Linked DNA regions of Danio rerio. The protein of the gene in region 2 binds, or shares a complex with, the protein of the main gene of each other region. Links are inferred from orthologs where the notes say so. Each region holds a gene or a part of one and is shown on either strand. Other genes may lie near its edges. The genes, in order: abcc8 and kcnj11.

The links.
Region 1: the proteins of kcnj11 (region 2) and abcc8 are in contact, whole or in part, in a cryo-EM structure (PDB 7S60), measured with the Homo sapiens proteins. The link is inferred for Danio rerio from reciprocal best matches to the Homo sapiens genes KCNJ11 and ABCC8. Residues at the interface, in NP_000516.3 of Homo sapiens: Val44, Ala45, His46, Lys47, Asn48, Ile49, Arg50, Gln52, Gly53, Leu56, Val59, Thr62, Leu63, Lys67, His70, Leu73, Ile74, Met77, Cys81, Leu84, Leu85, Met88, Trp91, Leu92, Phe95, Ala96, His97, Gly98, Leu100, Ala101; in NP_000343.2 of Homo sapiens: Phe5, Ser12, Ala13, Tyr15, Arg16, Val17, Val21, Asn24, Cys26, Phe27, Ala30, Val33, Val34, Val37, Phe41, Phe44, Ile46, Phe48, Ile49, Gly50, Trp51, Gly52, Ser53, Ser55, Lys57, Val58, His59, Ile60, His61, His62.

The regions. Positions count from the first base shown.
Region 1 is NC_133200.1:23,925,580-23,929,938, reverse strand, and holds the start of abcc8 (ATP-binding cassette sub-family C member 8), read right to left. Parts: upstream 2,855-4,359; 5' UTR 2,301-2,854; coding exon 2,277-2,300; intron 1-2,276. UniProt on the Homo sapiens protein: Regulator subunit of pancreatic ATP-sensitive potassium channel (KATP), playing a major role in the regulation of insulin release.
Region 2 is NC_133200.1:24,059,459-24,062,870, forward strand, and holds kcnj11 (ATP-sensitive inward rectifier potassium channel 11), read left to right. Parts: upstream 1-1,696; coding exon 1,697-2,842; downstream 2,843-3,412. UniProt on the Homo sapiens protein: Inward rectifier potassium channel that forms the pore of ATP-sensitive potassium channels (KATP), regulating potassium permeability as a function of cytoplasmic ATP and ADP concentrations in many different cells.

The DNA.
Region 1 (4,359 bases), about 130 kb from region 2:
ACATGAGCTGACCCACTGTTTGTTTACTACTGAGAGGATGCGTGCATGCCCACCGATGATGTCTGCTTTAGTGAACAGAACCTGCATAGGCTGTGAATGACAGTTAACAAATTTGTAAATAATGTTTTGTTTTTTCGCACAGAATGATCTGGAAGTATGATTTTCAAGTACATTTTCATGACATGAGCCGCACTCGGCAGTGAAAGTGAAACCAAAACCGCGCACATCATATAAATGATCATATTGCATTTTAAAGTCATGATTATGACAAGCATTTTATATGTTTTATCTTTCATAGCGAACACAAAGTGTAGTGAATGAAATTAATTGTTTAACAGTATCGGTTTAACTACTCTAGCCTACAGTATACAATGTTGAATATAATGCAAGAGGGAATCTGATAATGACAAATGTCTAATTTTATCAGTGAAAAAAATGTCTGATAATTTTCTCAATGACAAATGACAAACATATGTCTCAAACATAATGATTAAACATCAGCATTATGAATAAATATATTCTGATGTAATCACTTTACTGTGAATTAACAACCAGGACGTATTTAAAGTCATTCGAAGTCTATACAAAATGTAGCATTTTACCAACAGTAGACCTACACCTAGGACTAATATTATTATTGTTGTTTTACCATATAATAGCCTACTATATGAACCTTTGTTTTACATTTACAGAATTATGAGAAAATTGTGATGTTGATTTTAAGCAAAAAAAAAATCGCATTTTGGCCAGAATCGTGCAGCCCTACTCCATAAACTACTGTACATGTCTATAGACCATTACAATACAAGTACAGGCTTTTCTTAAACACTCAAGGCTTTGTTAAAATAAATCTCAATTAAAAGTAGCTGTTTGACAAATTACACCTTTCAGTGTGTAGACAGCCTACGTGATCCATACAGATATTAGATACTACAGTGTTTAGGGTCTGCGACTTATCATTACAATCCAATGTAAAAAAAACCCATACAAATACTCTGATATCCTAATGACGGTGGTGAGAGGATAAAGTTGATCCATAAGATATTCAAGGGGAGACAGACAGATGTGGTGTGTTATGGATGTGTTATTTCAGAAAGCCAACGTGCAAATTGACTCTATCTGCTTGAAGTGCATTCCTGTCACAGTACATTTAAAAAATAAACAAGGTAAGCAACCTCATTTTTAATGTTCTCGGACCAGCAGATGCAGTGGAGCGGAAACTTAAATGCACTGCCATCATTTAATTCCCATAAAGAAGCATTTGCTGAAGATTAAATGAGTAGCATGACTCTATAATCTGCACCACTCGACAGGTCAATCAAAAGTGGGCCTTGGAGTATATTATTTCAGTCAATATATATTCAATTCCCTGTGAACCAGAAATGTCTGATTATTTAACTACAGTACTGCGATGTGTTTCCAATTGAGACAGGAGTACGAGGTTTTATTTTAGCGCTCTCCTTGCCATCTTTTGCTCTCAGCAAAGATTACCAAAGCAATGTATTCATCATCAACATCATCATGGATTAACTTGGTTTGAAATAATTTGCAGCACAAATAGTAATGTGATTTTACAAATAAGTAATGTGCCTATTGTCATCTTGTGTGTGCATTAAATTCTGTGAACGGTAGTTCACATCAAGCGTCCTTTATTTACACCAGATTAAAGCTCTTAGTCATCAGGTCATTGAGACACTCTCTGTTAGTGTGCAACATTATGAATCTTACATCATGAATTCAAGCCTTATTAAATACATATATATATATTATTTTTTTCCATTTAAATTCATTTATTTGTATTTAATGTCTCTTTGTAAAGCTATATAATTGCATATTTCCGCAAGCACTGTAAAGAAAAGTTGGCTGTAGTATATTGATTTTTGATCTTTTGAGCTTTACCCCATTTAAACACAGGATTCATTCTAAATTGAGTGCGCATGCGCAGAACATCTTTCACTTGCTTTCATTCACTGAATCCTGTCGAATCTTGTCAAAACTAAAAAGGTGTTGAAATTTAAAGCTGTAAGTAGTCCCGTGGGTTATAAAACGACATAAAGCTCACGAAATTGACATGGGAGAGGAGGTCTTTCCCGCAAGCAAGAGCAATGTTTTGGAAAAAGCTCGTAAGGTTTTCTTAACAACTTCCTCACAGAAAATCAGTTAAAAAACAAGCAGCACATATGCTATTAACGATATAACGTCGTGTAAATGCAAATTTTCAACGTAATATAACATCATAAACATTTCTAACCCAAGCCACAAAGAAACTTGCATACCGGTCTGTAGCGTGTGATCATCATCTTGAAATTCCAGTCGTAAACAAAATTGCGACTTCATATGATGGTGTTCAATCCAGTCCAGAGACCTCGTCGTTCAAAAAAAAGCGCCTAACTCACACGGGAATAGGTCAGGAATAAAAAACAGCTGAAATTTGTCCGTGCGTCTGCCATATGGTTCGAGTTTACCTCAAAGGAACTAACCAAGGTGCTGAAAAGAGCCGTCACAGAATCCGACAGTTTCAAATTCCCAAACATCGATTTGAAAGTTGGTCGAGGAATCCAGTTCATTCAGACGTCACGTACACACGCGCGATACAAGCGATCAATCACTGACTCAACACTGCTCAGTAAATCACACAAAAACGAATACCGTAATCGGTGTCACGCTGCAAATGCTTGAAGTATATGTAATGATAAATGATAACGAGCATAACCTCAAATATATGATGTCGAATAAACGTAATAAACCTTGGATTAATTAATATTCAGGCTGATATTTAAAAAAGAAGCTAATATTCTTGCTTTCCTGCAAGAATGCACCCTACTAATCATCATTCGCTCTGCGTATATGGGCCAAATTCGACAGGTGCTGAAGATAATACTAGTGCGAACTAACCAATCGGGTCGTGGGTAAAGGGTGTCGTCAGCACAACACACCGCCTCCCTATAGCTCAAAACAAAGAGACACCGCCATATCATCAGTTGCCATACATCACCACTCTAAAAAACAATGAGTTGTTCATTTAACCCAGTGGTTGAGTTAAAAAATAGTTGGTGCGTTGTTGGGTTATTTATTAATAACTCAACCAGTTGGGTTAGATATGTGGTGCTTTTGAGGTTGTTTTGTTTACCTTAATTGGGTTATTTATTTAATAACTCGACCAGTTGGGTTAAAATATTTTAATTTCAACAGTCAACTGATTTAACTGATACAGAACAGCTGTATTAACATGCATACATAAAGTTGTTTTTGCTTTATAAAGTTTATCTAAGCCATAACGCAAAAATTCATTTTCTTTTTGGCATGGTCCCTTTATTAATCAGGGGTCGCCACAGCGGAAAAAACACCAACTTATCTAGAATATGTTTTATGCAGCGGATGCCCTTCCAGAAATGCCAACTAACCCAGTGGGCACTCAAACTAGCGACTTTCTGATCGTGCTAACCATTGCGCCACCATGACACCAAATGCAATAACATTGTTGTTATCTTTGAATCAAATGACCTCTCTGTGATGTGACTTTTATATCCCTTTCACCAGCACTCTTAATTGTTAAAAATTATATTGTTAAATTTTATATGATGGATATAATTTTATAGGACCCAGTGCATTGGGTTAAAATAACCAATAGTTGCACTGTAAAAATAAAATGTTGAGGTAAAAATTTTAAAGCAACCGGCTGCAAAGAAATTTTGAGTCTATTATGCTTCAGTGGCTGCAAGTTGTGCTAAATTCTTTTAAGTTGACTGAAAAAGCTGGTTTAAGTCAAGAATACTTTACTGAAAATTTTGACCCAACTTCAACAGAAGCAAAAACTCAAATTTCTTTGCAGCCGGTGGCTTTAAAATTTTAAGTTAACTCAACTCTTTATTGTTTACTAAATGCTCAAATTAAGTAATCGAAATTGAAAGGCTCCTGAACAATGTTTTTACTTTCATTGAACAAACATGCAGTTGAGTCATTTTTATGAGTAAATTCAACTCTGATCTCAAAAATTTGATTAAGATTAAGATTTTTTACAGTGTGAGAAGGTGCTATAATAACCTATAGTTGGGTTATATGTTGGGGTATTTTTAACCCAGTTATTTTAACTGGAGTACATAAAACAGCATTTTGCAAACAAAAATAAGACATGCCATGACATTAAGTCCTTAGCCTGTCAAAAAATACAGTAGCTTTCTTTAAAGAGATAGTTCACAGCAAAAAAATAAAAAAATAAAAAAATAAATAAAATAAAAAATCTGTCATCATTTTCTCATCATTCATTTGACACAAATCTTTTTTCTTCTTTTGAACACAAAACACTTTATCTAACCTTCATCTCACAAGAACTGTTTAAGAAAAACGATGTTCACAATA
Region 2 (3,412 bases):
TAAAAGACTTTTCCCTGAATCATTACGATTAAACACCTTTAATAACATGCCAAGACATGCTCATGATCGTAATTTAACAGTTTTAATTTGGATCAAAAATTTTTGGAAAAAACAACAAACGAGATACAACGGATTAAAATTCTCACAACTTTAAAATTACAGTTGTTACATTTTATTAAATAGTGTTTATGTAAAACATGTAGAGGTTTTAGTTATATGGAATAATTCAGTTACAGATCTTAAATGAAATGGAACTGTAACATGAAGGGGACGCTGAGTGCAGGGGACAAATGAGTGCAGATCCAAAGGCAAGCAACAGTCAACACAGGAGTAACAGATGTAACATTTTGCAGGGAATCCAGAGTCATGATCAAATAACAGGCAAATGGTCAGTCCCGCAGCAAACAACATAAACAATTAACAAGCAAAGCAAGGCAAGGCAAGGCAAAAGAAGAGAAACGCGTCATAATGTTCACAGTAGCAGCATAACAAGACTAAGCAATTGGTGCGTGCGTCTGTGCTGCTTTTAAAGTGCATGTAATCAGTTCATAATGATCCTCCGACTGTGTGTGTGCAATCAGCGGAATCTGAAACAGGTGTATGTGAGCACTCTTAGTGTGTTACTTTATTAAATGGATTTGATCATAATAATCTAGGAAAAGTCTGTAAAATAACAGTGTTTCTCTGTAAACCTTTTAATGAAAATATCTGTTGATTTATTATTTTTTGCACTTTTTTCAACAAAGAAATTTTACCTTAATTTTATGGTTTTTGTTTGGCAGCAGCAGCTGCCAGTCATTTGACCTTTTTTTTACTTTTTTTTTTTTTTTTTTTTTACAGAGCAAGTAATTACAATTTATTACTTTCATTTTACTTAATGTTAAATGTACTTAAAAACATGAAAAAACATTGTAAATAATATGTCAATGTTTTTGTAAAAAACAGACAAATTGCTGTAATTTGTCATTACTTATATAGTACATAAAATAACAGTCAAGCCGTTAATTTACAGAAAATGTTTGTGATTTTTACGAACTTTTGAAAATAATTTAAAATAACAGAATACTGTATAAATAATACTGTAATTTCCCTGTATAAAAAAACACAAATGTCAGTAATTTGTCTTTAATAATAAAGTACCTAAAATGAAAGTCAAACGGTTAATTTAGAGAGATTGGTTGTTATTTTACTAAGTTTTGAATATAATGTGAAATGACAAAAAAAATACAGTAAAAAATTTAAGGATATTTTCTGTAAAATTAGTTTTTTTTTAACAGTGTAGGGAAAGAGATATCTACAAACGCTTTTTGCTGTAATGAGCAGGCTAAATCATCAATGACTATAGTACAGATAGTAATGCAGCCCTCACTGTCATGGGTATAGTGGTCTGTACAGAACATGTCTTTTAATTATTGACGCAGAGCGGTTTTTTGTGGTAAAGTTCGCGTTTTGCACGCATGCCCTGTGTCTGCTCTGTGCAGCGCAGTCACATCTGAGGATGTGTGAGAAAATATCCGGTTGCAATTGACAGGCAGCGGCAGCCGGTGAACTAAAAGCGGCGCCTTCCCACGGGACCTCCTCACCTCTAGTGAGCGAGTGCGCGCGCAGCGCCAGGACGGACACGCGGAAAGTGCGCAAAAGCTGTGCCATGTTACAACTTAGCAGCGCGCCAGCGAAACAGTAGCATGGACCAGCAATGTTGTCCAGAAAAGGACTCATTCCCGAGGATTATTTGTTGACTCGGTTGGCGGAGGATGTGTTACAGCCAAAATTCAAGACTAAACAGCGGAAAGCGCGATTCGTCGCCAAAAACGGAACGTGCAACGTCGCGCACACGAACATTCGCGAACAGGGACGGTTTCTACAGGACGTGTTCACCACTTTGGTGGATCTGAAATGGCTTCATACTCTGGTGATCTTCACCATGTCCTTCCTGTGCAGTTGGCTTTTGTTCGGGATGATCTGGTGGCTGATCGCCTTCGCGCACGGAGACCTGGATTTGAAAGGCGAGGACTTTGTGCCGTGCGTAACGGACATCCACTCGTTCTCCTCCGCCTTTCTGTTCTCCATCGAGGTGCAGGTGACCATCGGCTTCGGAGGACGGATGATCACGGAGGAATGCGTTTCGGCCATCGTCATACTTATTCTTCAGAACATAGTGGGTCTTGTGATAAACGCCATCATGTTAGGATGCATCTTCATGAAAACGGCGCAAGCAAACCGGCGAGCGGAAACGCTCATCTTCAGCAAACACGCGGTGATAACTGTCCGAAACAACAAGCTGTGCTTCATGTTTCGCCTTGGTGACCTGAGGAAGAGCATGATTATCAGTGCCACCGTCCACATGCAGGTGGTAAGAAAGACCGTCACCAGCGAAGGCGAGATGGTGCCTTTGGACCAGATAGACATCCAGATGGACAACCCGGTGGGAACCAACAGCATCTTTCTGGTGTCCCCCCTCATCATCAGTCACACCATTGACAAAAACAGCCCTCTGTATGATCTGTCCGCGGACGATTTACTGCATGAGGACATCGAGGTGATTGTCGTCCTGGAAGGGGTCGTGGAGACCACCGGCATCACCACTCAAGCGAGGACCTCTTACCTGTCCGAGGAGATTTTATGGGGTCATAGGTTTGTGCCTACGGTGTCTGAGGAGGACGGGATGTATGCTGTGGACTACTCGAAGTTTGGAAACACGGTTAAAGTGGCGACGCCGAACAGCAGTGCGCGGACTCTCGAGGAAGCGGGAGGGATGGAGAGGTTCAAACTGCAGGAGACCAGCGGCGCATGCGCAGCAGTGAGGAGAAGAGTCAAACACCCAAACACCAAAGAAATGTGACTTGCTTCTATCATTATCCTCCTGAGACACGACAAAAGTTTTTTTTAAATATAGATTTTTTTTTTCAAATAATAAATCTCCGCAATTTGATATATTAAACATGTTTAATGTAAATCAGAGATCGATTTATATTGTCTTAAAATTAATAAAAAATTAAATGATCAATTATATCAGGTTTGATTCGCATTTTGGCGATCAAATACAATCAATGTACACGTGCTTTTACATACAGAACATTTTAAATACACATGTTTATTTTCATGTTTTAAAAATGATGTGGAAATTAAATGTCAAATATGAGTGAATCTTCCAACATCACTCAGACTAATAGATATATTTATGTAAAAAGAAAACTATAAGCAACATATGCTATAAATGCATACATAAAAGAAGGTGATCATGCTAACGTTTATTACGCTTAAAATTATTAAAAACGTTTTGTTGAAAAAAAAAATCTGAATGATTTAAAATAATTATTTTCATGGGGGGGGGGGGGGGGGGGGGGCACTATGACCTTTTTTATGTGTCATTAAACGATTCTTCTAAAAATGTGCCTGACAATTATTGTTA